4 linked regions of the Diceros bicornis minor genome follow. The main gene of each other region encodes a partner of the protein of the gene in region 3 in a complex. Links are inferred from orthologs where the notes say so. Each region holds a gene or a part of one and is shown on either strand. Other genes may lie near its edges.

What was found.
Region 1: WASHC4 (region 3) and WASHC3 share a complex: the UniProt entries of both Homo sapiens proteins name them as parts of the WASH core complex. The link is inferred for Diceros bicornis minor from reciprocal best matches to the Homo sapiens genes WASHC4 and WASHC3.
Region 2: WASHC4 (region 3) and WASHC1 share a complex: the UniProt entries of both Homo sapiens proteins name them as parts of the WASH core complex. The link is inferred for Diceros bicornis minor from reciprocal best matches to the Homo sapiens genes WASHC4 and WASHC1.
Region 4: WASHC4 (region 3) and WASHC5 share a complex: the UniProt entries of both Homo sapiens proteins name them as parts of the WASH core complex. The link is inferred for Diceros bicornis minor from reciprocal best matches to the Homo sapiens genes WASHC4 and WASHC5.

The regions. Positions count from the first base shown.
Region 1 is NC_080764.1:21,323,036-21,330,769, reverse strand, and holds the start of WASHC3 (WASH complex subunit 3), read right to left. Parts: upstream 3,007-7,734; 5' UTR 2,951-3,006; coding exon 2,900-2,950; intron 2,334-2,899; coding exon 2,235-2,333; intron 1-2,234. UniProt on the Homo sapiens protein: Acts as a component of the WASH core complex that functions as a nucleation-promoting factor (NPF) at the surface of endosomes, where it recruits and activates the Arp2/3 complex to induce actin polymerization, playing a key role in the fission of tubules that serve as transport intermediates during endosome sorting.
Region 2 is NC_080756.1:58,683,338-58,690,723, forward strand, and holds the start of WASHC1 (WASH complex subunit 1), read right to left. Parts: upstream 3,007-7,386; 5' UTR 2,406-3,006; coding exon 2,381-2,405; intron 1,939-2,380; coding exon 1,785-1,938; intron 1-1,784. UniProt on the Homo sapiens protein: Acts as a component of the WASH core complex that functions as a nucleation-promoting factor (NPF) at the surface of endosomes, where it recruits and activates the Arp2/3 complex to induce actin polymerization, playing a key role in the fission of tubules that serve as transport intermediates during endosome sorting.
Region 3 is NC_080764.1:18,841,514-18,849,481, reverse strand, and holds the start of WASHC4 (WASH complex subunit 4), read left to right. Parts: upstream 1-4,963; 5' UTR 4,964-5,011; coding exon 5,012-5,072; intron 5,073-7,939; coding exon 7,940-7,968. UniProt on the Homo sapiens protein: Acts as a component of the WASH core complex that functions as a nucleation-promoting factor (NPF) at the surface of endosomes, where it recruits and activates the Arp2/3 complex to induce actin polymerization, playing a key role in the fission of tubules that serve as transport intermediates during endosome sorting.
Region 4 is NC_080760.1:40,396,440-40,403,722, reverse strand, and holds the start of WASHC5 (WASH complex subunit 5), read left to right. Parts: upstream 1-4,275; 5' UTR 4,276-4,411; intron 4,412-6,262; 5' UTR 6,263-6,336; intron 6,337-7,283. UniProt on the Homo sapiens protein: Acts as a component of the WASH core complex that functions as a nucleation-promoting factor (NPF) at the surface of endosomes, where it recruits and activates the Arp2/3 complex to induce actin polymerization, playing a key role in the fission of tubules that serve as transport intermediates during endosome sorting.

The sequences.
Region 1 (7,734 bases), about 2.5 Mb from region 3:
TGGAATTTATCACATTAAAAAAGATATTACATCAAATGGACATAGTATAGCAAAGAGAGTACGAATCTAAATAATAAATTATGAAATAGCTATAAAGAAGACACTGCAGTCTCTCACTTGAAAAAGATGTAAACATGCCTCTTATTCAGATCAGAAGGTGCAATATAGCAGAATGGTGAGACATTTTTGTTCTTTCCAGTTAACAGATCAGAGTTGGAATCCTAGCTCTGCTACTTTCTAGCTGTGTGAGTGTGGGCAAGTTACAGCAGCTACCCCAGCTATAAATACTATGTACTCAAATATATATTGAATGAATGAATGAATGAACGAATGAGTAAATGATTTATACCTCTCTACATCCCAGTTTCTGCATTTCTAAAAGAGAGATAACTGGACTTCTCTCAGAGGGCTGGGCTGTGATGACTAAATACATGTAAAACACTTAGTACAATGCCTAGGCACACAATAAATACTAGTTATTGTCATCATACCAAGCAGTCTACAACTGACATAAATATCCAAACTGCTAAAACAAAAACTGTAAATAATGAGTTACAGTCAACCTAGAGTATCCATTAAGGAGAAAAAGGCAATAAGCCACCTTTAAACTTCATGAGTTTTTTGGTCAAGAAACTTTTCTCTAAAGTTCAGGGAAGAAATGGGAATAGTGATAGAGTTAAAACAGTTGGGGGAGAAGTTCAGACAGGAACAGAAAGGGGGGAAAAGAAGGAATCACGAGGCTTTCATAATTTACAAGCAGTCAATAAACAAGAGACGATTATTATATTTGATCTAGTCCCCAGGAAACAGCATTCACTCCTCAGGCAGTGAAAGTCGTTAGGCACCACAAAGGTGAGGGGCTATCCTTGTCTCAGAGCAGCTCCATCAAGTTGCTTTCACAGGTGTGTCTGCTGGTTGTTGTTGTTTTATTTTTTAACCTGGTGATGAAGAGCATGAGGATGGAGTATTTGCTCCTCACTGCTAACAATCCTGGAATAGTCTTTCTCCAGATACTTCTCCACCCTACCCTGATATAAAAAGTGAAGGACTAAATCCTTTAGTCAGTCAGTTCTACATCCCACTTAGAGAGGCAGCAGTACAAGATAAAACTCATGGAAGCAACCCCCTACTCTCTGGGCCTGTTAAGTAAAATATATTGAATTGAGCCCCTTACTCTATCAATTATCATTTTGCTTTCCTTTGCCTTAGTGAGAAGGCAGAAGAGATTTTGATAACTAGATAAAAACAGAAGCTGGAACCTTATACAAGTGAAAATAGTTTTCCTGTCTCCATGCAATTTTTATTAATAACACATCTAACAAAAACTCCACTTGCCAAGGCTATACTTTATATCAAATACAAGACAAAATGAACTCAATACTGTTTAATTGGCTCACCTGTGAATTATCTAATTTTACCCCTCATTCTCCTTTCTTAAACTCAATTTCAACCCATGTTTCCCATTTTCCTTCCCATTCTCTTTTTTGGCTTTTTTTTTTTTTTTTAAGACAGAGATCCCTGGATCTGGTATCTAATCCTTAATTGGGTACTTAATCCTCATTTCACAAGTTATTTGCAGAAAGTATTTTTATTTCCATGATATTTGATGCCAAAGTTATGTTCCTAGGCTACCTCCCCAACCATCTTTTGGATGAAGGAATGTAAAATAATTTTAATACAAACTGAAACAATGTGTACTTAAAAATGTAAATCTGGGGGCCAGCCCAATAACGCAAACGATTAAGAGCTTGAGCTCCACTTTGGCGGCCTGGAGTTTGCAGGTTCGGATCCCTGGTGCACACCGACACACTGCTTGTCAAGCCATGCTGGGGCGGCGTCCCATATAAAGTAGAGGAAGACGGGCATGGATGTTCGCTCAGGGCCAATCTTCCTCAGCAAAAAAAAAAAAAGTAAATCTAAGGAGTTAGAGAAACATAAGAAATTTCAAAATAAAAAATGTTTTCAACTGTGAAATTTTGGAATTCTTTTTGTCCTCTGTAATCACAATAAGCCTTACCGAACTATTTCACAATGGCCTCTAGAAAACTAATTCAGCAGAGGTGGGATGCAGGATTGATGGTAACTGAACCCAAGAGGATTTAAGGCATGTCAACATAATTGGGTGACGAGGTCATGGTATGTGAATACTGTAAAGACTGTTTTACTCATTTGCCACCTTCAAAAATGCAAGGCGATTTCTAGGCTACTCATTAAACCAATATCACAGGACCTACCTCCTCACAAACTGTAGAAAAGCGGTTGAGGAACTGTACAGTGTGCACCACAAACTGGTTTAGAAATGCCACCGTTCTTTTCTGTTGAATAGCTGGCACCTGTATTATGTAAAAACAAATATGATTCGTACAGGAGGAATGTACACCGTGCAATCCCTTTGATACGAATAACGAGGCATTTTGCTGTGTGATATGAGTTCTGTGAAGCACTGTGAATAGCCATTAACTTGTTTCCCCAAACTGTGGGGGTGGGGTGTCCGAAGATGAGAGAGGCTTTAGAAAAGTTGGAGAATGGGCTCTGGATTCGCAAGTACGAACTTGCCGGTAAAGATAACACACATAAACACACAAAAAACTCGGGGGCCGAATAAAAGAGGTAGGGTTAGAGGTCGCGACCGGCCCATGTCGCCAGCGGGTCACTCTTGAGCACAGACTCGTGACGCACGAAGCGAAGGCTGGGACAGGCACATTACCCCCCCTAAGCAGCTTGACAGGGATCCCTTTTCAAGGTGAAGGCTGGCACTCTCCCTCCCGAGGTCGGCAGAAGAGAGGCCCGGAGCCAGCCACAGGGTGTGGCATGGAGCGATGGAGTCCCCTGGGAACCTGGCTTCCCTTCCCCATCCTCCTCCCGGGTCGCCAAAAGTTCAGCTCCGTCATTCACAAACCTTGGTCAGGTCTATGCCTGACCCCATGAGCGGAAGCCCATCCTCGTCCATCTCTTCAGCGGGCGGGAGACCCAAGACTCACGCACAAACCCCTCCCACTCCGGTAATAGCGTCCAAAGGCATCCCCTAGTCCCCGCCTCGCAGGCCCTTCCCGCCGGAAGGAAACGCCTCCCGCTCGCCAATCACTCGGCGGCTCCCGGAGAGCCCGCCCCTTTGCACGGCATTCTGGGATTGGTAGTTCTAGATCCGGATTGTGACGTCAGGCGCGGGGGCGCAGCGTGGCGGAAGCCTGCGGTTCTGATAGTAAAATGTTAGAGCTGGGGCAAAAAACAAAAGTAAAAATTGAGTCCGTTTTAGATTACCCCTGCTTAATGCTGTCTGTTATATAAATAGGTAAGCCATTCGTTAATCAAAAAAAAAAAACCACGTATTTTTTTTTTTTTTTTTTTTTATCGTATTAAGTGCCAGATACTCTGCTAGGCCCCGTGGGGAATACAGAGATTGAGTTAGTTTAAGCCTCCTGCGCTGGAGAGGTTTGTGCCCCGAAGTGGGAGATAAGACTTGTTCCCGAAGGGCTTTAAAACTTGAACGAAAATGTCAAATGCTACAGAAACCGATTTTGGCTTTTTGTTTGTTTTTTTTAAAGACAGGGATCCCTGGATCTGGTACAATCAGGACCCTTGGGCGTGAGCCTAGAAATCTGCATTTTAACCAATCCTTTCCCCTTCCCTGCATTATTCTGATCTAAAAGGTTAGAAAGTTACTTGCAAAGGTGATGGGAGCCGTTAAAAAATTCTGAGCCAGAGAAAGACATGATTCACTCTTTCATGGCTTTCCTTTTATCTCTCTGGCCACTTCTTCTGTTTCATTTGCTGATTCCTTCCCATCATCTCCAACCTCTAGAGTTTCCCACATTTATATGTCTAGCCCAGATCTCACATTGGAAGCCGGTGTAGCTGAAGCAGAACAAGCAAGGTAGGGAATTGAAGGAGATGAGGTCTAAAAGTTATGTGGGGGTATGATCATGTAGAGCTTTGTAGGTGGTTGTAAGGACTTTGGCTTTCTGGGTAATGTGGGAGATCAAGATTTGGCCACCCTAAAATCTATCTCTTTACCTTGGTTGTTTTCTCTAGGGACATTTGACCTCCCCCACTAACTGCCTAAAGAATTTGACATGGTGGCTCCTTCCTGGAACAGATCTATCATGATGGCTGTAAAGATAATGTAGGATGGAGATTACAATAGGAAAGGCACCAACAAGCCCCTCTTATCAGAAGTTCTGTCTCTGGCCACATTCTCTGGATGACCCTGTGAGGAGTTGCCAGACAATCATTTACAGTTATAAGAGAAATCTCCATTTGTAAAGGTATCTCCCTCTCTGTTTTGAGAAGAGAGGGGGATGGCCTCATTTCTAGAGGCTTATCAATGTGGAAGTTGAGGCCTTAAAGCTGCATAATAACCTTACTCTTGTTTGCTGTGCTTTAGTGGTAATCTCCTGGAACTGACTCCCCCCAACCCCAAAATCCTCCTTTGTCATTGGCTGAACATGGTATTTAAGACGAGAATTTCTGCTATTGTGTTGAGAAACGCAGTGTCCCTGCTTTCTCCCATGTATACATGTTATTAAACTTGGTATTATTTTCTCCTGCTAACCTGTCTTGTTAATTATTTGGCCAGCCATAAGAACCTTAAGGGAAAGGGCAGAGAGAGATTCTCCCTCTTCCCCCGACAGTTTTGGCGGAGTCGCCAGGAGCCACACTGGCTGGCAAGTTGCCTTCTCTGGCTGGAAGACCTGCCTTCTCCCTGGACTACTACAGATGATGAGATACGGGAACGCCTGACAAAAGCCGGCAAAAGGTAAGACTTCTTACCACGTCAGCCTCCCGGAATCTCCATCTGCGGAGTGTAATGGAAAAAAATGGTGAGAATTTTTTCTCTTACTAAATTTAGATTGGCAAGAGAAAATATTTGGGAAACTAGTTTCTTGTGCTTTTAGTGACTCTTGGTTTAAATTTAGTAGAGTACTCTTGGTTTTGATCTTGATCCCTTTTCCTCCCAGAGGTAGTCTCTGTTTTTCTCTTTTGTCTGTGTCTTTTGTCATAAGAAAGAAATACCATAGGGTAGGACGCAGGCATAGGCCCTACAAGCCTGCTGTCCGGGCCGGCCCCACAGACTGGTGAGTTTGCGGGTCTCACCAGACCGGCGTCTACAAACTTTGCTGTGGGTTATTATGCACATGAAGTGAAGGCCATTGCCGAGGGCATCTTGGAAGCCAAAAAGGCCGCAAATTTGGTGGGCACGGGTCGAGCAGTTAAGAGCCATTAGGGCGCTCGCCACTTTCAGAAGACTCCCGTGACAGGATAAGTTGGGTCACGGAACGGGGTAGATGACACAGGTCCCCCGCCAACTGCAAAAAAAAGTCCGTGCAACGACGAGGTACTCTGTAAAGCACACAGTCCCCAACCCCGTGGCACCTCCCCCGCTAGGTATTATTCTGGCTCCAAGAGACCTAAGGCGTGGCTAAAGCTGTCTTTGTGTACATAAGAAAAAAAGAAAAAAAAAAAACCAGATGAGGTTTTTCCTTCTGTCTTGTTCTGTGTCCTGAGAAAACTTGGCTTTGTGACCAGTGAGAATATTCTCCTTGGTCTCCACCAGACAGAAGGTGCATTTACCCGAGTGCACCTTGGTGGCCAGTCAAGTAGACTGGGGTTCCGAACTGTCTCTTTGTCCGGCTGTGCCAAGCTCTCAGGGGAGTTTGTCATAAAGGGCCCAGTCCATAAGGGCTTTTGTCGTCTTAACCTTTGTTGCTTGTTAGTACTAGAAAAATCCCATTCCAGTATCGCCTGCCCCGTGTCACAGATTAGCGAGTCTGTGACTGGAGGCGTCCCACACTACTGTGAGAGACCGGAGACACCATCCTTACCGCCTGTGCAACAAAGGTCTTTACTATCTCTGAATATCTTTGGGAGTAAATTCTGTGGATCATGGGGGCTACATCATCTGCGCCCTCACCAGGGATGCCTCTTGCGTCCATGGTAGATTTATTCTAAGCGTAGAAAGTTACCTCCAGGTCTTTCCTTAAAAAGGCTTATTGGTTCGAGTCACTATTGGAATAAATATACACATGAAGATCCTACTTGTCAATGGCCAGACGACGGATCCTTTGAATTGAAAAAACTTCTAAATTGGGGGAAAAAAAATGTTTTGAGAGCTCTCACATAATTATTTATTTGGTACCTAAGAAAAGGCCAGAAAAAAGAAGGGAAAAATTTGACTAGCCTTAAGACCTTGACTCAGGTTACAATTGAATTGAGAACATGTAAAAGTGTGAGTGTTGATAAGATTATAAAGGTTGGAATGTTTGAACTAATTTTATATAAGGAGGTTACATCAACTTTGCCTGAGTATGTTTTAAAATGTCTGACTGGGAATGCTTCCCTTGTCCAAAATTAGAAAACCAAGACCTACTGGTAAAAATCTTAATGATAACTATGTCTAAAGGTATAAGAGGTGATGAAATTTACATGAAATTTTGTAGGAAAAAAACTGATGTTATTTCTATTACAGAACTGGTTAAAAAAAATAGTAATTTAAATGATGGCTAATTTTATCTGATGTCTTATAAAGTCTTATAGGCAATCTAAATAATTATTGGGAACAAGTAAATAGTTGTGAAAAAGATAAATGTTGGATGAACTTTAAACAATAATTATGTGTTATAGTAGTTACAGCTTCCAAACTCTTTTTGGTGACTTAAAACTTTAGAGTTTTGCTAAATTTTATGATAAAAATTCAGTTGAGTAGATCATTTCCAAATAAGATAAGATATTAGACATTAATTGCTAAACTTACGTTTGTCTACATTTGGCTTTTCATTACAGGAAAACTAAAAGGTGTTTTGGGTCTATTGGTAAACATGTGTTTTATTAAAAGATTGTACTATAAAATAACATATTTCTAAAAGTTATAAAGTGTTCATAAATTTTCCAATCCACAAAATGCTAATATAAAAAAAAAATTTATAACTGCTTACTTAGTTTTTACTTAGAAGTCAAAGTCTATAAGGGTTAAAATTTCTAATTAATATGTGTGATTGAAGCTACTAAAAATTAAAAAAAATATGTCTGTGTACAAGGAAAGTAAGATGTATAAAGAAAGAACAAAGAATAAAAATATTTTGTTTGATTGATTAAAAAAGATAAATTTGTCCTCAAGTGCTAGAAGGAAAAAAAAAGACATGGGACAAATTCTGAATGTAAAAAGAAAGTTATAGAAGGTTTGTAGAAGAGGAATTCTAGAAAAAGAGTTTTTGTATGGTCTAGTTGGCTAAGATTAAAATGAATTTAATTAAGTAAATGAGTTTTAATAGCAGAAGTAAGCTGGTGCAAAATTAAAATTTGGTCTTCTGTCTCTTAAAAGGATAATTTTCTTAAACTTGATAAAGAGGTTATAAAAGATTTTTCTTTACCTTTGAATAAATCTACCTAAAAGACAGAAAATCTATGTTTTGTTAAAATAATTTCCTGTGTTCAAAAGACTGAGGTCTCTCTACTAAGGCTTTTTAGACTGTTAACGCTCTGTTTGCTTTGACTTTTTATATTTTTGACAAGCTCCCCAAAATTCATATCTTAAATAAAGTCTTTCTTTTACTTTTTTTTCTTTGGGAATTTTCAAAGGGCCCTGGAACTTCTCAAAAAAATTTGCTCTCTGCCTATAAAGAGAAAGATACTAAACTTATTAGGCTTATTCAGTATGTTAAACTACATGGAAAACATTGTCAGACAAGTGATGATAAACCTTCTTAGGTGGTATTATGTGGGCAAATGTTATTGACA
Region 2 (7,386 bases), on a different chromosome or scaffold from region 3:
GGCTAAGGCAGGCAGGTGTGTTGGTGGGCAGGTCAGAGGCAGAAGAGTCAGAGGATCTAGTGTTTGTACCGAGTTCAACTGGAGACAGTGACCCTGCGTTCTACTCCCATTGGGGAAGGCTTCCAGGAAGAGGTGGACGAACGACTGGTGAAGGAGGAGACTGCATGAAGCATTCCTGATCTCGGTACAGGAAGGGGAGGGTGGGGGTGACTTAGGCCACACATGAGAGGGACCTCAGTCAGGCAGTCAAATGCTTCCCACTGGGTGGGATAAAAGACCCCTGGTGAGGCATGGCGTGGGCCCCCAGCAAGGAGAAGCTCTAAGCCCCATCTCAGGTTGCTTATGGACCTGTATACAGGACAAAATGCGGGACCTTTGCAAGGAAACAGCAACACCATTCATTCATATTAAATAAACAGGGGGCCGGCCCCTGACTTAGCGGTTGAATGCACGCGCTCTGCTACTGGCGGCCCGGGGTTCGGATCCCGGGCGCACACTGACACACCGCTTCTCCGGCCATGCTGAGGCCGCGTCCCACATACAGCAACTAGAAGGATGTGCAACTATGACATACAACTATCTACTGGGGCTTTGGGGGGAAAAAGGAGGAGGACTGGCAATAGATGTTAGCTCAGAGCCGGTCTTCCTCAGCAAAAAGAGGAGGATTAGCACGGATGTTAGCTCAGGGCTGATCTTCCTCACAAAAATAAATAAAATAAAATAAACATGGAATGAAAAATCATTATAGCCCAAGGACTGTGCTAGATCAGTGCTGGTGACACAAAACGCTGCCACTCTGCTCAAGACTGGCCATAACCTCTAAGGCCCTGCCCACCTCACCAGCTTCACGCACCCCCTCAGCCCCTCCTCGCTCCAGCCACACTGGCTGCCATTCAGGTCCTTCCCACCTCAGGGCTTTACCTCATGCCTCACTTTCTTTCTGGAACCTACCCACTCACAGTAACTCCCACCTACCCTTCAGATTTTACCATACATGTTTTCTCCATATATGCCTTCCCTGACCCCCCATGCCAGGTCAGGCGCCCCGTTGACAACTGTCTTCTACAGAGAGGCAGTAATAATTCCAGACTCGGGAGCCACGACACCCGGGTGTGACCCCTGGCTCTGCCCCCGGGCTGGTCTCTTAGCCTTTCTGTGCCTCAGCTTCCTCATCCATAAAATGGACATAACAACAGCATCTCCTCGTAGTTGTTGTGAGGGTTAAATGAGTTAATGCACTCCGATCATTGGGGGCACACAGTCAATGCTATATAAATATTAGTTATCACAAAATTATTATAAATCCGTCTTATCACAGCTGTAATTCAATGACTAACATGAAGTTGACTGGACAGAGTCTGTCTCTCCTGCCAGGGTCCATCCTCAGGCAGGACAGGATGTGGCCGTATCCACTGCTGTGACTACAGAGGCGAGCACAGTGCCTGGCACACAGGAAGTGCTGAATAAGTGTTTGCTGGCAGGGGAATAAGTGAAGGAACAGGGCCCCCACTGGGAGAAAGAGTATGAGCTGGGAGAGGAGTACCCCCATGGGGCCTGGGGATCTGCAGGGAAGCCAGGGGGCTAAGTGGTGCAGTAGGTAGTGAGCTCTTACGAGACAAAGTTCTAAGCTGGGCGCCCCTTGGGCACAGGGAAGCCAGCTGGGTCCCCTAGGACCGAGAATCACCCAAAGGGCTGTTCCTAGAGGGGGCATTCCTGGGAATGGAGAGATGGCTGCCCAGGCAGGGGCGGCCCTCCGATCGGTGAAGGTGGGTGGCAGCACCCACCTGCTGAAGATGTCTCCAGACACCTTCTGTAGGTACTGCAGGGCATCCGCCACCTGCTGGATGGCCTCCTCTCGCCGCAGGTCCGGCTGGATGAGGGGCACCGCATAGGTCTGACCTGCCAACGAGTGCTGGGTCATCATGGGAGTCATGGTGCCTGTGGGTGGGAACGGGAGCATCAGGACTGCCCCACACTCACCCACACCCACCCACCACAGGGCAAGGTACCGGGAGAAGAGAGCACAGCCCCTCGCCCTAACCGTCTGCCGCAGGTTCGGCCCGTGCAGCGGGAGAGTGGGGGACAGAGCATTTGGTGGGAGGCCAGGAGCTCACAGGGCAGGTAGTCTGTTGGTGCTTGTTGCGTGAATGAGGGAGGAAAACTGGTAGGGACAGCAGAGACTGACGAGAAGCGTTCAGAGAAGGTGCAACATGGACTGACCGCCCTAAGGCGCATGGTACCATTTCTGTGTGTGATCTCATTTCAACCTCCCAAGCCCGGGTGAGCAAGAAAGAAACCCTGGCTGCACAGTGAAAAAGAGGCTGGAAGCAGAGGGTTGGACATGGGGAAAAAATTGCCTGCCTCAACTTCCAAATGGTACCCGGCTCTGGAAAAGCACAGAACATGTGGACTCCTGGGTGGTTCTCACTTTGGCCTGTTCCTGTGTTAGGACAGGCCGTGGCTGGTGACTCTAGGTATAGGAGCGTCCGGCTCTGCTCACCCAGGCTAGAGCCAAGGGGGGCCAGGAGGAAGAAGGGGCCTGTGGGGGCAGAGGACAGGAAGAAAAAACACTCCTTTGAATTTCTAGATGAGGGCACAGTCTATTTATACTGGGTTTAATTAACTCCGCTCCCTGTTGCCACTAAAGCAGCAATCACTGCAGATGGCACTGATTTGACTGGCAAGAGACGCACCAGGCAGAATGTTAAGGTGCCAGGCCCCTATAAATAGGCCTAATCAGAGCCCCTTGGTAGAAGACAGCGAGGAAGACATTAATCAGGCCCGGCCCTGTGCCCCAGACCTGTTCTTCCAGGCACCATGTTGGGGCCCCTGGTTGTAATAGACGTGTGAGTGGGGCTGGGTAAGTGTGGCAAAGGAGGGCTTATGAGTTTTCATTTGGGCTTAAAGCACTGTGTGACCTTGGGTAAGTCACTTGCCTTCTCTGAAGCTCTGATTCTTTCCATTTCCCATTCTACAGACTGAGAATGGCACTGCTCTCTAAGAAGTGGTTATTGCCAATGTGTCACACCAGTACCTTCACCAAGCTGGGGCTTACTCCTTTGCTCCCTCTGCTAGCTTCTCCTTGCCCGTCCTTCTACCCTACCCTCGCTCTCTCCTACTCTTCCCAGGCCAGCACTTTTCCTGATCTGAGATGACAGTTCTGCTTTTTGACTTTTTCCTCCAGCAATGACACCCTCAGCTTTCCAGACCTGAACCTGCCTAAAATCCTCATCAGGGTCCAGGAGGAACTCCTCACCTCTCCACTTCTCTTCCCTCCTATCAAGTGACCAAAGTGGGCCAGCTGATCACTAACCATCTGAGGGACCTGACCCTCTGAGACCACATACTCCTTTCAAGAATGCTCCCTTTCTTTGTATTTATATTGATGCAAATTTGCTGGCTGTCCTTAGTTCTGTACCTCAGTTTTCCCGTCTCTAAGATAGAGAGGGGGTAAAAGCTAGAAGATACTCTTCTGTGCACACCTTGAGATGCCTTCCTTATGGTTAGTTACTACATCTGTGTGTGTGTGTGTGTACATGCACAAGGGGAACAACAGGCACAAAGCTCCTAAACAAGAAAGTAGCAGGTCCGTTTGAAAATTAAGAGACTGAGCACAGCTGCTTAGTGATTTACTCATTCTGTCTGCACACATCTACTCATCAACTATTAGGTGCCAGCCACGATCAAAACAAAGATAAAGGGACACTACACAGGCCATGGACACAGCCTCGAAAACAAACGCCCTGTGATAAGGGCTCTAATCCAGCCATGAGTACAGCACAGGGGAACAATGAGGAAGGAGGGATAAATCCCTTCCCGGGTTAGGGGAGTCAGGAAAAGCCTCTTAGCAGAAGCTGTCCCTCCCTCCCAGGCTCAGGGAGAGAGTGTAGAGAGAGAATTCCAGGTAGAAGGAACAGCTTGAACAAAGGTGTGCAGGGAAATGGCAAGTGTTTTTGGGTGGTGAGGGTATAACCATCCTCGTGAAAGTGGGAGAAAAAAAAAAGATAATGAGGCCAGATTGTGTAAAACCCTGAATACCACGGCCATGAGTTTGGACTCCAGCCTGTGGGCCAGGAGTGAAATCCTTAGACCTAGCCATCCAGCACGCAGCCACTAGCTACACTCGGCTGCGGAGCACTGGACATGTGGACAGTCCCAACGGGATGCAGTGTAAATGGAAAACACACACCGAATTTCAAAGACTTCGTAGGAAAAAAGAACATAAAATATTAAATTTATTTATATTGATTACATGCTGAAACAACCAAATTTTAGACATATTGGGTTAAATAAAATATATTACTAAATTAATTTGACCTGTTTCTTTTCACTTTTAAAATCACATATGTGACTCGCATAATATTCCTATTGGACGGCGCCACCTGAGAGAAGCTGGTAAAAACAAGGACTCTTCCAGGAAACTGCACACACACCACCCCCGCCTCTCACAACGCTGCCCGTGACCTCGGAAGTGCACGACACCCTTCCTGCACCGCGTCCCCGACGCCCCGCTCCCAGGGTCTACACCCCGCGTTAGAAGCTCTGCCGGGGCAGTCAGGAACCAAGCACGGTTAAAGCAGTGGGGTCATCTAAGAGAGACCAGGGAGGGATGGGAGCTGCAGAAGAAGGGTTCGAGCCTTCCGTTCTGCCCTGTTCCTAAGCCCAAGAGCTCAGAGGGTGTCAGGTCACGTGAGGGTCACGGGGCCGGCGGGCCGAGAGGAAGCGGCGGGCGGGGGCCTGGGGACCCGAGTCTGCTGTCCCGGCAGGGCCCTCCCTGCGCCCGGGCCTCGGCCTCGCTCCGGCGGAAGGACGGCGCCGGGGGAAGGGCTGGGCGCACGGGGAGGAAAGGCCGGGAGCTGCGGGGGTGGAGGCCCGTCTCCCTGGCGGGCAGAGGCCCGGCGCCGCTTCCCGGCGGGCGGCAGAGACGGCGGGGAGGCCGGGCGCAGGCTCCGCGGGCCCCGCGGGCCCCGCGCTGTGGCCGCCCCGCTCAGCCCCCGCCCGCGCCCCGGGCCCGCCGCGCGCCCCCGCCCGCGCCCCGGCCCTCCCCGGCCCTCGGGGGCCTCCGCGCCGCGCTCACCTGCTCGCCGCCGCCGCCGCCCGCTGCCGCCCCGCCCGCGCCGCCGGATCCTGGCGCCGCCGCCGGCCGGGCTCCGCCTCCCGGGCGCTCGCGGGGCCCCGAGCTCTGGCCCGCGACCGCCGCCGAGTCGCAGACCCCTGCGCCGAATCCCCTCCGAGCCTCCGCGGTGCACACGGCACCGTCCCTTGTAGGCCGAGCGCCAGGCCGCTGCCGCCCCCCCACGCCTCTGTGCCCTCGCTGCGGCCCGCTCTCCAGGGACGCCCTCGCCTGTCCCGCAGGGCGCCTGGGGCACGACCCCCGCACAGGCCCGGGAACCGCCCCCTTCCCTCCAGCTGTACAGACTTCGCTGAATTAATACATCTTTCAGCTGAATAATACACCCTTTCTTTCTTGTCCTGGCCTCTGTGGGCAGTTGTCCCCACAGAGTCCACTTAGTTCCCGCCCCCCTTTAAAATTAAAGATATAAGCCAGACACGGAAGGACTAATACTGTACGGCTCCACTTGCGCAAGGTACCTGGAGTAGTCCCGTTCACAGAGGCGGTGAGCAGAGTGGTGTGGTTCCCAGGGAGGGGGAGCAAAGCGAGGGAGGGAGTTATGTCGGATGGGTCAGAGTTTAGTCCGCTCCTCCGGAGCCTCTTCCCGGCTAGGCCTCCGCCTGCATCCCGAGAATCCTAAATGGGAATGCCCCACCGTCTGTATCAGGTCACCCTCCGTATCTGACCAAATTCCTCATCCTCTAACATCCTCTTGCCTTCAGCAAGAATCCTGTTGGGTCAGTTTAGCAGAAAATCACCCACGCTCTTAGCAATTTCTATCCACGGACAACCCCCCCCCCCCCCCCCCCCGCTATAAATCTTCATTTGTCCATTCTGTATTCGGAACTGACCCCAGGTCTACACGGAGATCTCTTTTCCTCTGTTGCAAAGTCCTGAGTTAAATCAGCTTTAACCTCTTTACTGTCCAGCTCTGGTTTTCTTTGACATGTCAGTTTGGGATGACGGAAAGTTCTGGAGATTGGTGGTGGTGGTTGCACAGCAAGGTGAATGTACATAACGCCGTGAACTCTACACTTAAAAATGGTTAAAATGGTAACTTTTATGTTATGTATATGTTACCACAAAAAAAGCTAGATAGTTAAAAAAAAAAAAAAAGGCTAAAAAATTTAAATGTATAAAGGAAGTATTCCAGAGATCCTGCAGCAGTCCCTCCTGGAATCCCTTGGCTTGGCTTAGAGTTCTTAGCCCCTCTCTTTTGGGGTTGCAAGAGAAAAATACAGGATGCCAAGTTAATTTGCATTTCAGTAAAAATCGAATATATAAAAATTGTCTATTGTTTATTTGAAATTCAAAATTAACTAGGTGTTTGATATTTTTATTTGCTAAATCTGGCAGTCCTACTCTCTTGCTAATACTCTTGAGTTTTGTCCTCCTTCCCTGCCCCTCCTCTTGGGGGAGTTAGGTTGAACTGTCTTTTTTGACAAGAACACTTCATTGTCTCGCTGGCTGCAGCGAATGGTCCCCACCAGTGGTGCTGAAGAGATGGGTTTCCACCTATATTATAGACTGCATGTTTGTGTCCCCTAAGATTCATCCGTTGAAGCCCTCCCTCCCAGTGTGATGGTATTTGGAGAGGGGTCTTTGGAAGGTGATTAGGGTTAGATGAGGTCGTGAAGGTGGATGAGATTGGTGCTCTTATAAGGAGCGACACTGAAGAGCTTGCTTATTTTTTCTCTTCACCACATGAGGACACAGTGAGAAGGTGGCCATCTGCAAGTCAGGAGAGAGTTGTCACCAGGAATCGAATGGCTGGCACCTTGATCTTGGACTTCCCAGCCTCCAGAACCGTGAGAAATAATTATTTATGTTGTTTAAGCCACTTAGGCTATGGTATTTTGTTTTTGACTAACATAACCTGCAAACACATTTACCCCTCACTCCACCTGAGCAATGACTGAGCGGTTTAAGGTATCCAGGACACATCAAGGAAGGGGAGATGTGCGTGCATAGAGGAGACGGTGGCAGGCTGGGGCACCTTGGGCAGGTCATCTGAGGGGGCCTCGGATGCTCCAGATATAAATTGGAGTTGAGTGCTTGCTCTCCCTCCTTTTGAAAGCTGCAGAGAAGGGCTGTCCAAGTGCTTTGTGATCTGTGAAGTTTATTCCAACACGAAAGGAAATTTGTAGTGCTCCAGGATGTCTGTCTACACATAGACACACACACACACCACATCACATGTCAAATCTTGCTGTATTTTCTCACGAAAGTGTTACTAGACAGCACCACCGGGCCCAGACCGGCCAGTTCACCCT
Region 3 (7,968 bases):
TGACTTGACTTTGTCAGTTCCTAAGTTAAAATATCTTAATAGTTTCTCTCACTGAATAACTGAGCTCTTTGAAGGGTTTTAGTCACTGTGGTATATCAACCAGAGGAGGTCCTGATTAAATACTGGTTGAAGAAATGAACAATTAAAAAAGCCATTTTATTAAATGGTTTTTTTTACACTTACAGAGTCTTTAACAAACAGTGCCATCCACTGAAGAACTAAGAGGAAATAATTTTCCTGAAAAATGAATATTACAGAGCAATTGAAAAAATGAGAGTTGTTGGTTTACTCTTTCAACAAATACATATTTATCATCTATGTACCAAGCACTATACTTGGCATTGAACTATATCAAAGAGACATGGTTTGGATGTTTCTAGAGCTTATAGTCTAGAGGGAGAGATAGGGATTAAACAAGAAAACCTGCAAATAATTAAATGATCAAAAATTTTGATAAGAGCTACAAAAGAAAAAATACATAGTGAATAAAAGGGGTACCTATTTGGGATTGTGTAGTCAGGGAAGGCCTCACTAAGAAAATGACATTTAATCCGAGATATGGAAGATGGCCAGAGCGGGTAGAACTTTCCAGGCAAAAAGAGGGCACAGGATGTGTGAAAGCCTTCATGTGGAAAAGAGCTCAGTTTGTTGGAGGAACAAAAAGACCAATGTGGCTGGATTATAATGAGCAAAAAGGAAAGAGACCGATGATGTTGTCGGTGAGGTAGGTAGGCTTTTCCATAGATACTGTATTTTATTGTAAGCACAATTAAAAGCCACTGACAATGTTTTAAATAAAGGAGTAGCATACTCTGATTGTATTTTAAAAATTAAGCTCTAACAACTAAGTCAAGAATTAGCTGGAGGAGCAAAAGAATGGAAACAGAGAAATAAGCAACTATATTTGCTAAAAACAAAAATAGGAAAGTCATCAGGGCTCCTAGCTATGACTGCCTAGCTTGTATCAGAACAGTTCTCCTGCTAAGAACAACCAGAAGAGCCTGGTAAAATATTTTTTTAAATGTTTTTTTTTTGAATTTTTAACTACGGTAAAAACACATAATATAAAATTTACCCTCTTAACCATTTTTAAGTATACAGTTTAGTAGTGTTAACTATACTCATATTGTTGTGTAAGAGAGCTCTAGAGCTTTTTTTTTTTTTTGTGAGGAAGATCAGCCCTGAGCTAACATCTGCCAGTCCTCCTCTTTTTTGCTGAGGAAGACTGGCCCTGAGCTAACATCCATGCCCATCTTCCTCCACTTTATGTGGGACACCGCCACAGCATGGCCTGACAAGCGGTGCGTCTGTGCGCGCCCGGGATCCGAACCCGGGAGCGTGAGCGTGCGCACTTAACCACTACGCCACGGGGCCGGCACCATAGAGCTTTTTCATCTTGCAAAGCTGAAACTCTATACCCCACCAAACAACTTCCCATTTTCCCTCCCCTCAGCCCCTAGCAACCGCCATTCCACTTTCTTTTCCATGATTTTGACTATTCTAAATATCTCATTTAAGTGAAATCATACAGTATGTGACTGGCTTATTTCCTTCAGCATAATGTCCTCAAGGTTCATCCATGTTCGTGCATGACAGAATTTCCTTCTTTTTAAAGGCTGAAAATGTTCCATTGTATGAATATACGTTTTCTTTATCCATTTCTCTGTGGATAGACATTTGGGCTGCATCACCTCTTGGCTGCACTGAACACGGGTGTGCAAATATCTCATTGAGATCCTGCTTTCAATTCCTTTGGATATATACTCAGAAGTGGATTATATGGTAATTCTAATTTTAGTTTTTTAAGGAACCTCCATATTGTTTTCCGTAGAGGCTGCACTATTTTATATTCCCACCAGTAGTGTACAAGTGTTCCAATTTCTCCACATTCTTGCCAATACTTGTTATTTTCCGGGTTTTTTTCTTTTTTGATAGTAGGCATCCTAATGTAAGGTGATATCTCACTGTGATTTTGATTTACATTGCTCTAATGATTAGTGATATGAGCATCTTTTCATATGCTTGTTGGCCATTTGTATACCTTTTTTGGTAAAATGCCTATTCAGGTCCTTTGCCCATTTTTTTTTAATGAGATTACTTTTTTTTTTTATGGTTGAGTTGTAGGACTTCTTTGTATATTCTGAATATCGACCCCTTTATCAGATATATGACTTGCAGTTATTTCTCTCCCATTCTGTAGGTTGCCTTTCACTCTGTTGATTGTATCCTTTAATGTGCAGAACTTTTAAAGTTTGGTGTAGTCACCTTTGTCCATTTTCGCTTTTGTTGCTAAAAATATTTTTGAAGGCACTGGAGACCTAGGACAGTGAGGATTTGAGGAACTGAGATTCAGGAGAGAAGGTCCAGAGAGGTGAGCCTGACATTTGGCACCACATTTCACCTCAAAGCGTTTGCCAATTTGTAAGTGGCAAGCTGAGAATCCAAGAGGCTGAGTAGCAGAAGCAGTAGCTGAGAGGTTGAAAAGATGAGCAGAGGTTTGGCAGGACCTGTCAAGCACCCCTGCAGGGCTACACTGTAGGATTAAGATGATACGGCATAGAACAGCCCTCACAAAGATAGAAACCCAGCTTCAAATCACAACAGTCCTAGACTGGATTGAAGTAATCTGCTTCTACTCTAATAGCCTTCCAGAAGAAATAGTAATCCTCTCTGGAGGAAGGTAACATCATTCAGATCCTTAACTTATCTCTACACGTTTTCATACATAAAGAAGAGGATGTACTAAAAAATTTAGCAGGTGTATCAGGAAACAAGACCAAACGATGGAAAATCAAGAGAAAGAAAAAAAAAAAACAAAAAACAACAAAACATCAGACAACAGAAAAGAGACCCACAGGAAATCCAGATATTGCAATTATCAGAAAAGACTTCCTGTATGTAGAGGGCTGAATAATAGGCCCCCAAAGATGTCCAGGTCCTAATCCCCCAAACCTATGACTATGTTACCTTACATGTTTAAAGAGACTTTGCAGATGTGATTAAATTAAGGATCTTGAGATAGGGAGATTATTCCGGATTATCTGAGTGTGCCCAGTGTAATTACAAGGGTTCTTATAAGAGGAAGTCAGGAGAGTCAAAATCAGTAGTAGATGTGATGACAAAAGCAGGAGGTTGGAACAATGTGCAAAAGCTGAGAAAAGCAGGGAAATGGATCCTTCCCTCAGGGTCTCCAGGAGGAACCAGCCCTACCAACACCTTGATCTTAGCCCAGTGAGATTCATCTTGGAACCACTTTCTTGTCTGTTTGTCTGTTTTTTCATAATAATCTCTGCATCTAGCACAGGGCCTGCTACCTAGTGGGCACTCAAATATTTGACCTGCAGATCCATGGGCCTCAGGGAATGCTCTTCAAGAGATCTTTGACCTGTGTAGGGGAGGAAGATAATTATTCTACCCTGTAGGTCCTTCTGGCTGGTCTAAGAATTAAATTGACATGAGACAGAATAACAGGAGAAAATCAAACAAAGCTTTATAACATGTATACAAGGGAGAAACCCAGAACAGCTGAGTAACTCGCCAGAATGGCCAAAGCTGCCACCTTAAATACCATCTTCAGCTAAAGACAAAGGCGGATGTTGAGGGTAGTGGTTTGGCACTTCAAGGGGGAGGAAGGTAATTTACATGGAGATGGAAATGCAAATATGGAAAGGCAAAAATGGGCCAACTATAGACAATGTGACCTGAAAGACACATTTTACATTACACTACAGTTATCTTATGATATTAGCTCCTTCCTGGAACAGGCCCTTCTATTTTAAATTCTTATAGGCGGTTAGGGGGAAGGTCAAAGTTTCTTTCAGAGTCTTTTGTTCTTAAAAATAATCAAGCCAAAGAGGCACATTTTGGGGTGGCCATTTCTGATCTCCCACACCTGCTTTGATTAAATTATTCTTTTTGAAAGAAAAAAATTTTTGAAAAGAAAGAAAGAAATTCACTTTCTAATCACCAGCACATACTCCTTTCCAGTTCACCACTGCCCTGTTTGGTGTGATTTGAGTTCTCTTTCTATGCATTTACACGCACATATGTACATACACGTTTATATAAAATATAAACATAACCACAAATACACATTATTCTGCAACTACCTTCTGTCAGTTTCTCATGCCTCTATAAATCTATTTCATTTCTTTTAACAGCTATTTAGTATTTCATAGTACGGATGTATTAAACTTTATGTAATTATTCCCTGTTGATGGACCTTTAGATCATTTCCTATTAGTATCTATTTGAAAACGTGCAGCAATGAATATTGCCGTGCAAATATCTGTGTACACACTAGGTAACACAGATCCCTATTTGCGGAAAAGCCAGTTAGCAGGTAGGAGCATTTTAGAACACACTTAAACACCACTTCTTCTGCCCTCCCGCCTTTTTAAGAGGAGGGGTGGAGAGCCGGTGAGTGCAAGGTAAGCAGAGTAGTAAAATTCCTCGCTGGGGTCTCCTCTCGCACAGCGGTGTTTTCTCAGGAACAATCCGCACAGGACGTGCAGGACGAGAGCGCCGGGAACTCCGGTGGAGGCCACAGGGAGGGCAATGGAAACACCGGCCTCTTGCAAGAAGCGCCTGGACAGCGACTTCCTCGAGGACCACGCCTTCTGTTAAGCCCTCACCCCATTAATTTTGTCCTTTTTAGACAAGACTGAAGGAGCAACACCCCAGGTATTAAAAATGGCCTCGAGACAGCAGGGCGAAATTGCAGGTATTCGTGTGGCATGAGAAGACAAGGGGACAAGCGCAAAAGCCCAAGAAGAAACGGGAGGACACGACAAGGACCGCCGCCACCGCCCCCATGGCGGCCGCCTCCGGCCACCGCGGAGGACTCGCTTTCCCAGCGGCCCCCGCGGCAAGCAGGGGCATTCAGCGCGGCCGGCCCTCGCCAGGTGGGTGGGGCCGGGGCCGGAAGTCACGTGCTGTGACAGCCTCCGGGGTGAGGCCGCTGTCGTCGTCTGGGCTGGTTTGGACTGTGACTGTGGGACGCGCCGGGGTGATGGCGGTGGAGACTCTGTCCCCGGACTGGGAGTTCGACCGCGTTGACGACGGCTCACAGAGTAAGGGAGCGGCAGGGCCAGGGCTGCGGACGGACGCTCCCCGGCCCGCCTCAGCCCTGGCAGCGCTCCTGCGGGAGGGCTCTGCGTCGCGGTCGCTGCGCAGCCGTCCGTGTCGGGACACTTGCCGCCCCTTGGAGTGGGAGAGGCATGCGCTGTCGAGCGTGGCTTTCGGGAGTTGGAGGTCCCAGTAATGGCGGGTCAGGCTGGCCCGGTCTGGGCTCGGCGTTCGGGGCGGCGACTGTCCTGGGGAGCCTGCGGTCCCCGGGGGGCGCGGCGTCCACTTTCTGCCGCCCAGAGGGAGGCACGGGCGGGGCGCGTCCGGGGAGGCCCGGCAGCATGGGCAGCTGAGGCTGGCTCTTGTCTTGCCTCTTGGGGGCTTTCGCCGGATCCTCCAAGCGTTCAGTTCTACAAGAGGCTGAGATCCGAGTTCCTGTTTCGGTTTCCTGTTTTTCTTCTTTTCCTCCCAAAACAACTGTCGGAAGTTTGGCCGTGTTTTCCTTCTCGTTCGTATAACCGTAGAAGATAGCGAAAAAGAACTCTTCACATGATAAAAAATAAACACGTGAATGTCAATTTCTCTCCTTCCTTGCCTTTTATTTACGTTAAGTGGTATTTTTCAGGGATATCCTGTAGTTTCCATTGCAGCTAGAAAGGTTTCAAAAATGACAGCAAATCTTCTGCAAATTTTCCTTCGTAAAATCAAACTGATTTTCACTTACAAGTCCAACCAAAAGAACCTAACAAATTCAGTTCCACGCAGTAAAATTTAGAGGCCATCTAATTATTTCAGTGAGACTCTATTTAAGATTAATACAAGTTGGCAATCTGTTTCTTATCTTGATGATATTAATCTGTATAAGTGATATAAGAGATATTGGGATATACTGCTTGTGAATTTGTTTTTTTAATGCATTTTTCCCAAAAGGTGAATGTAATTTTAAAAAATTACACGTGAGTTTTGCTTAATTTTATAAAGAAAGACTCGTATACAAACTTAGATATAGTTAGGTTTTATAGCCTCTCAAAGAAGCATGAGCTTAATTCAGAATGGTTTGTAGTTTTTCACAAAACTTTCCGTGAGATATTAGCTCTTATGCAGCATAAAAGACAATCTTGGTGGTAATGACAACATTTAATTATTTTATAGAGAGGGTTCTGTGTTTACTGTTATAAAGTGAACTGCTCCTTGTCATGTATGAAGTTTTATGGACGACAGTTCTCCTACACTAGTATCTTCAGGAAATTGGCATGAAAATATGTTACTGGGTTTGAAAATGGTTCAACTTAGAGCAGAATGATCTGAGTCACTCCACGTGTTCTACATACCAGGCACTGTGCTAGGTATTAAAAGAAAAAACAAGGAATGCGTGCTGTTGGAAGAGATAAGCATGTAAACAGGTGTCTGGAATTTTACTCTAGAAGAATCACCATGTAGTTATTTCAAATCTTTTTTTTTTTTTTTTAACCAATTTTACAACTATTCATTATCTTATCAGCAAGGATAGTTTTATTATGGGTTATCTGTTGCCTACTGCTTTGTGAATTCTCAGACAACCTAAATGAGTAATTTATTGACGTGTTTTTCTAGTATTGTTAAAAACTCAATTGCTGGTTAAATGCAGCCTTGGTCGTTTCCCACGTAACTGATAATTAGACATGAACTTGGAATTCTGAGAGTCTTAGGCAGTTTTTAGTTTAAGTTGTAGGGAAGAGAAGGCTTCTCATCTCTTCTCTGTGCCTGGTTTTCATTAATTTTTGCACTATGAATCATATCTAAACTAATTGTTTTTCAAAATTGCCTAGATTAATGCTGTAATGAGATAGGAACCTTGATGAACTAAACTGATCTACCTGATTCAGAGCATTAGTTGCAAAATAATGGGGAGCTAGGTCTTTATCTTGAAGGAGTCAGAACATACTTTATCTTAGTTGCTTCACATTACTAATTTGAGGAGAGAAAAATTTTACTGTTTTTTTTGGAAGGCGAAGATTGAATAAAGTTATTCACATCAATAAAAGAAACTGAGTTGGAGTTGAATTTGCTGCCTTTGGAATAAGTAATGAATTCTTATGTATAGGGTGGAATATTTACTTTCATTAATTTTGGTGAATAGGCCTACCTTTATTGTCCAGTTTTTTCTAATGACTCTTTAGAGTCATCTCTTAATGGGTAAATTCTGTAAATATCAGCACAATATTCTGCACTCGGTGTTCTTTACTGGCTTTTCCAACTTTATGATTATAGTTAAATAATTACAATATCTCGGTAAATTTTGGGTATTACAGGAATAATATTCATTATGATGAAGCAGGTCTAAACTCATTTTAAAAACAATATTTAGGTGTATTTTTAAACGGTTTACTGTGTATAGAATTAAGAATTATGTTTTTAAGTTTTGCTTCTGTGACAACATAGCATCTATGTTCTATGACAAGATTTTTGCACCAGAATCAGGTCATGAATTTTTTTTTTTTTTTTTTGCAAAAACGTTGTTTATGACTAAAGCATAGAATCAGGACACTTGAGTTGCCTGAGGCATTATTCAGATTGTTTAAAAGCCCTAGATTATGGGGTAAATGGGATAGTGACTTTTTCATGATACTTTAAAGTTATAGTTTTAAGATGCTATCCCTGTATATGGTAACACCTACTGCTTTTAAAATTATTTTGTCTATTTGGAAAAGATTGAAACCTGAATTATTGTTTAACTTTGAAACTTTATTTTCAGGAACTCCAGACATTCCAAAGTAATATATTTAACAATGCTTAGTGTCTACTTTGCTGTGACTTTTGAGATTATTTGAAATAAATGTCCTGTAATTCATTACTTATTCTTCTCACATGCTGTTTTAAAATTTAAATTTAGAAATTCATGCTGAAGTCCAACTTAAGAAT
Region 4 (7,283 bases), on a different chromosome or scaffold from region 3:
TAGAGGGATGGGAAAGCTGTATGGTAGCAGAAAGAAGGTATTTTCTTAGAATCATATAGACAGAGCACGAATTCAGGCTCTGTCACTTTACTACTGAGTGACCATGGGCTGATTGCATAAACCTCTCTGAACCTCAGGTTTACTGTCTCTAAAATGAGAAGGAATATCACAATGTGGTCCAGCACACAGTACACAATTAATTAGCATGGACTTGCCCTCCTGCCCTTCCTTTCTAACATGGGAAACTGTCTAGTATCTCTGGCATTTCCATCCTCTCCATTGCCACCACTTTTATCTCACACCTGGAGTACTACAGTAGTTTCTTAACTATTGGCCCTTTTCAATTAGATTCATTCATTCATTCATTCAACAAATAGGTATTGAGTGCCTTACCATGTCAATCATTAGACTCTAAAAAAGACACAGGGTATACAAAGGGAAGGGCATAGAAAAGATGCCCATGATGCTGATCTCTATTTTTGAGGTTTTAGTCTATTACAAACATCCACAATACAACTCTTCTTCAATTCAAATCATTCAGTTAACAAATATTCAGTAAGTAATGTTTTGGAGCATAACGTAGAGGGTCTTAAGTGCAGGATAAAGAATCGGTCCAGTTGGGTCCAGGGGGGCAGTCAATGGGACTTTTAGCTTTATCTGTTTTTTAAAAATTTATCTTAAAAATCAAGAACTGAAACAAACATGGCAAAATGTTATAGATATTAAAATCCGGATGATAGAACAGGGTTCTCATTATGTTATTTTCTGGGACCTTCTGTGATGTTAAAATTCCACACCAAAAGAGAGAGAAAAAATATGACTATGAATACAAATGAGAAACCATTGATGATTTTTGAACATCTGCATTTTGGTGAAAGAGTATTTATTTACAGTCTCACATTATTACACCAAACAAGCTGAGACAGTTAACACAATATAAATACAAATATATGCAGTAAGATGGGAAATATATAATATAAATGCATGAAAATCAGGATGGAAAACAAACTAAAGGGGAAAACAGGTAAAGAAGAAAATTTTTACTACATGTGTAATACAAATTTGGCTATGAGCTTCCTGACAATCAAAGCAAAAAGTGAAAGCTACAGAATCCTCTTTCCCCATAAAGAAAAAGTACATCAGGAACTTGGGAAAAATAAGGCTTTCCATGGCAATCAAGGCAGTGTGGACCATCATATATAAGACAATAAAACTCATACTGAAAAATATTCTCAATAATATCCTTACAATAAATGCAACAGTGAGCTTCCTAGGACTGTTTCTTAGGTTATTCCTCAGGGTAAGCTAAAGACAGGACACTTGGGGTAGATACCAGCTCGGTGCCCACCAAACCCATTTCCTCTTCAATCTGGTTATACAGCTAGACCACAGTTTGCAGCCTTCCTTGCAGTTAGCTATGGCCATATGACTGAATTCAAGGCAATGAAATATGAGCCATTTCCAGGCCCAGTCTATATAAACTTTCTCCACACTCTTTCCCATTTGATAGCTTGAACAGGCAAGCACAGTGACCTTAGATGCTCTATACTGAAGATGGAGAATCCCTAGTTCCTATATCACTGCTTGGCGGAAAACTGCCCGCCAATCAGGCTCCACGCATGAAAGAAATAAAAACTTCAATTGTGCAAAGCCGTTTAGGTTTTGGGGCTTACCTGTTACAGCACCAACTGTTACTCAAAAAAACACAATCCTGCAAGAATCAAATCATATGGTTCAAGTATTCAGTTTTCTAGTCAGTCTTGATTCCAGTTTAAGTCTAAATTGTCTAGGGCACTAGACACGTGGTTATCATGACTGAGGAACTGAGTTTTAAATTTTATTTAATTTTAACCAATTTAAATCTGAATAGCCACATGTGCCTAGTGGCTACTGCACTAGTCAGCACGGTTCTAGAGACACAATTATCCAAGTATACCATATATATGAACCATGGGGTAAGCAAGAAGGGGCAAAGCCACAGAATAAACAGGATATGTTTCCTGGAATATCAATTTTACCTAAAGATAACATGAACCATCATTAGCTACATTACAGAGCAGAATATGAAGGCAATACAGAGTAGGGGTTAAACACCCAGCCTCTGAAGCCAGAGTACCCGAGTTCAAAGCCTGATTTTGCCACTTAAGTAGCTGAAAGACTTTAGGCAAATTATCTAACCTCTCAACGCTTCACTTCTCCCTTCTGTAAAAGGAGGATGATCCAGTGGCTACCACAAGGATTACTGTGAGGATTGAATGAGTTAATATAGATAACAACACACTAAGAACAACGCCCAGCACATAAATCTCATCTTGTGTCTCTGATTGTGTCTCTCCCCAAGCTGACTAAGACACAACGTACACAAGGATTAATACAATCTGGGATAAATGGAAAGTGTCTACCACATGGTAGCTATCCTTATTATCTGAATTCATAATTCACATTACTCCAATGAAACTTTATACTTGCAGAGAGCTAGGGAACACACGGTCACTGCCTTCTGTGAGTATATCAACGGAAACGATTCAGATAAGAAGCAAAGAGAATGGATGGGGCACAAAGATGGAGTAGACACACTTTTCCCTATTTCTCCCACAAAGTACAGCTAAGTACATAAGTCACAGGACAGCCCTCACAACAAAGAATTATGTGGTCCGAAATATCAATAGTGCAGTAGTTGAGAAACTCTGGTTTAAATCAGCCTCCTCTTGGAGCCTTCCCAGGTGGCAATCAATGATCTTTTTGTTCCCTGTACCTATGGTCTCCAACAAAGTTTAAAACAAGGTTATGCATTTCCCCAGTTTTTCCCTAGCATGTTATTTTGCCTCCCGTAAACAGGCCTTGCCTTATGCCATCCAGGCTGCAGTAATAAAATACCACAGTCTGGGTGGCTTTTAAACAACAGAAATCTGTTTCTCACAGATCTAAAGGCTATAAGTCCAAGATCAAGGCATGGGTTCACAGCCCATGCCTTCTGCTCTTTGCCTTCACTTGGTAGAAGGATCAAGGGAGCTCTCTGCAGCCTCTTTCATAAAAGCACTAATCCCATTCCCAAGAGCTCAACCCTCATGACCTAAGCACCTCCCAAAGGCCCCGCCTCCTAATACCATCACACTGGCATTAGGATTCAACATCTGAATTGGAGGCGCACACACATTCAGACCATAGCAGGTCTATAAGATTCTCTGCAGGCAGGACCCATTATTGGCTAATACCATTTCTTCTCTACTGTTCCCTCCTCTTCTCTGTCTGTACAGCACAGTGGTAGGCACAGAGCAACCAATTTATAGGCACTATGCCCACCTCCTTGGTGGGCATGGGAGTCCGTACAAGTTCAGCCAGAGCTGTAGCTCCTTTTTCAAGATGCAGGAACACATGTTTCTTGATGAAGCCTTCCCTTATCTATATAAGCAATTGCTTGTTCCCTCCCTTATGCTGCCACTATTCCTCTCTCCCTCTCTCTCTCCTTCTCTCTCACGCACACACTTCTATTAAAAAACTCAATAAAACTCATCACAACTCTTTGCTCACATGTCTGCCACTCCTTCACCCTGGGAGCAACTTAAACTAGAACTCGGACATATTCTACAGCATTTGAAACAGCTCCTGACACAAAATAGACGATCAGTCAAGATCTGGCCAGAGTCACAACAATAACAGCAACCACCATTTCCAGATCTCCCACGGTGTGCCATAAACCGGTGCCCCCGGGCTTCATTCTCATTGTCGCTAATCCTCACAGCCATTTACATACGAGAAAAGGAAACGGAGGCCCAGAGAGTTTATTTAAACGACACGCCCAAGGCCCTGCTTTTAAAGACAGTCCAAACCAGATTTATTTGGATCAAGAATTCGTCATCTTTTCCCCACACGTTTAGGGCTGAAGGATGGGCAGATGGCGTCTCGGAGAGGGAGGTGAACTGTCCCAGCCTCACTGCTCTGGCGTGAAAAGAACCAGGACCATAACCCAGGTCGACAGACCCCAGGTCAAGGCACCCGCGGAGCGCCCGAGAGGGAGGCGACACCTCCCGCCGCCCTCCCCATCGCCAGCCCCCGCCTCTGCCTTACCTGGCTGCCCGACCTAGCTCCGTCTGGCTGCACCCCGACTCCCCACACCCGGACCCCCACTCCTTCCTTAACTCCCTGCCCCGTCGCTGAAACTGCGAGCGCGGGCTCCGACGTCATCAGCCGTTGCCCGCGAGTGGTCACATGACACCCCGCTCTGCTCTCCTCCCCTGTGGTCATGTGATGGCCCCGGGAGCCAGGGGCGGAAGCCGGGTTCTGGCCGGCTTGCGATCCGGGGCTGGAGGTAGAAGACCCCAGCGGAGAGGGAAGGGTCGGGGACTCCGGCGCTGACTCCGCGCACGATCGCCGGCCCCGCGCGTGCGCCCTGGCGCGGCCCGGGTGACAGGTGAGTCCGGGCGGGGCGCGCGTGCCCCCTCCTTTCACGGCCCCCCTCCCCTCCCCCGTCCCGGGGCTGGGCCGCGCTGGTCCCGCGGGCATCTGCGCGTGGAGTGGGGTCTGGATGGGGGAGCCTGGCGTGGAGGACTGAGGGGCTTCCTGGGGCTGGGGCTGCAGCCCAGCCTCTTCATCTCCACTTAGATGGAAATAATTTTCCACGCCGCTGTGGCGCTTTAGGAAGTGATGTTCAGCTGCTTGACCCGCATCTGAGCCTTCCAAGTTTTCGGAAGCAATGCTGTGTGGACGTCGTTATTCCTCTCTTTACTCGCGAGAAATCGGAGTGGTTAGTGAGCGCTTTTACAGTGTGAGGGACCTGGGTTTGAATTCTAGTTCTGCCATGGGCTGTGAGTTTAGGCAAGTCATTGCTCCTCTCTGCACCTTAATTCCCCCACCTGTGACATGCTGGTGCCAAAGTCCTTTGCATTTCGAAAAAACGTTCCGAGGGTCCAGATTTCACTATGGTCTCACAGTAAAAAGAAAAAAAACACACCTCACAGAGGCCATAATGGAATAGGGTCTCCTGATTCCAAGTGCAGGGAGCTCCCTCCAATGTAGGTAACGGGGGTGAGGGGGTGGGAGAGAGCGGTTTTACTGCCTCTGCCCCCAACAAGGACACTTTCCGGTTTTTCTTCTGTTTTTCCTCATGAATCAGCTGATAGTGATCAGACTCATTTCAGAACTTTTCTGGAAAAGATATGTTGGTCACTTTTATCTTGATCAACAATCATCATATTTTGTTCCTGATAATGGATTTGTGGAGGCCAGTGCTTCCTTCTTTATGGAACTGAGGTTTTATGAAAGGATAAAAATAGACCTATCTTCTTTTGACCTCTGAGTAGGGTAAACAGTGCTTTGTCCTAGGACAACTTATTTCCTTCAGAATTTGGTTCTGTACTCATTGGGTAATTGGTGTGATGATCCCGTGCTGCATTCTTTTTTTTCTTTTTTTTCTTTTTTGTGAGGAAGATCAGCCCTGAGCTAACATCCATGCTAATCCTCCACTTTTTGCTGAGGAAGACTGGCTCTGAGCTAACATTTATTGCCAATCCTCCTCCTTTTTATCCCCAAAGCCCCAGTAGATAGTTGTATGTCATAGTTGCACATCCTTCTAGTTGCTGTATGTGGGATGCGGCCTCAGCATGGCCAGGGAAGCCGTGCGTCCGTGCGCGCCTGGGATCCCAACCCCCGGCCACCAGTAGCGGAGCACGCGCACTTAACCACTAAGCCACTGCCGGGTGCTTCATTCTTGAAAGCATATTGTCCTTTGTCCAGGATTACTTTCCAAACTGAAAACTACAATTCCTTACCAAATTCTTGAAAATAAAGTTATGACCACCTTTCTGGGTACCTTGTAAAAGAAAATTAGGAAATTGAGTTTGGTCTCTGGCTTCATTTTATGCCAAATAGTGATACAGTCTATACTGAGAAAATTGGTCTTTATGAATTTTCTTCGTCCCTAGCACCAAGAGAACCTCTAAGAGGAAGATTTAATATAGCTTCTTCTACAGTGTTTATTTGCACCTCATTTTAGAGTGATTTTTTTAAAGCTCAGCTAAGTCTTAACACCTTCTATGAAGCCACCTACCTCTGAGAGGGCTGCAACATGATTAGGCATCTCTAATGATGGTTCTTAGATTTTGTTCTTTAGGGCCAGTTTTTCAGCCAACAGTGGGGCTGTTTACCAAATACTCTAGTCAGATAATATTTTGGAAGTTGCCTACAATGTAACTCTGGAGTAAGGATTTAAGGATTAAACTAAGAGATGGATACACCAAAGTCTTGACTAATGTCATTATCTCAGGTCTAAGCTTCCCTGACCGTGTGTATGCAGATGCTGAGTACATCTGTCCATCTGTTTGTTGGGAAAGAAAGCAGGTAATGTTGCTTTGCTTTGAGCTGTTTTCTCCATGGCCTCATTGTCTGTCCTATACTGGTGTCCAAAATCTGGTAGCAGTTAGACCTGTTAATCATACCTTACCCTCCTCTCAATTGAGTCTAGGGTTTCATCCCGCTGAGACCTGGGTTGGTTTAGTATTCTTCAGAGGACCTCAGTAGGTGACTCTTTTGCCCATTGTTTATTATTTTTCCCCTTTTCCTCTCTCATTTTCCAAGCCAGACCATATTAGTGCAAAAAAAATGGTATGAAATTATCTGAAATTTAGCCTGTTAGAGATCAATGTGGCTTAACAAGCAAGCATCACAGAGAAAACTAAAAAGAATTGTTAATATTTTATGCCTTAATGTGTCTTATAGGATACCCTCATGAGAGAGAGTTCTAGACAACTGTAGTGGCTTCTCAGTCACAATCAGACCCAACCCCATCCACCTTCCCTGATCTCTGCTTCTATCCCTTGCTCACTCTACAGCAGCCATATCAGCCTCTTTGCTATTCCTTAAGTGCATCTGGCACATGTCGGCCTTTGCACTTACTTGTAACCTCTGCCTGGAATGCCTTTCTCCAAGATCATTATCTATTGTAAAATAACAAACTACCCCAAAACCTAGTGGCTTAATAAACATCTATTATCTTATAGTTTCTGTGGTTAGAAATCAGGGGTATAGCTTAGCTAGGTGCCTTTGGCTCAGGGTCTCTTGAGAGGTTGCAGTCAAGCTGTGAACAGGAGCTGTTCTCTTATCTGAAATCTCAACTGAGGTTTTGGGGATCCATTTTCAAGCTTACTCCAGTGGTTGTTGGCAAGCTTCTCCATCCCTTATCACATGGGCTCCTCCATGGCTCTCTCACAATGTGACAACTTGCTTCCCCCACGACAAACAAGCTAGAGAGGGTGGCCAAGCCAGAAGTCAGTCTTTTTGCAATCTAA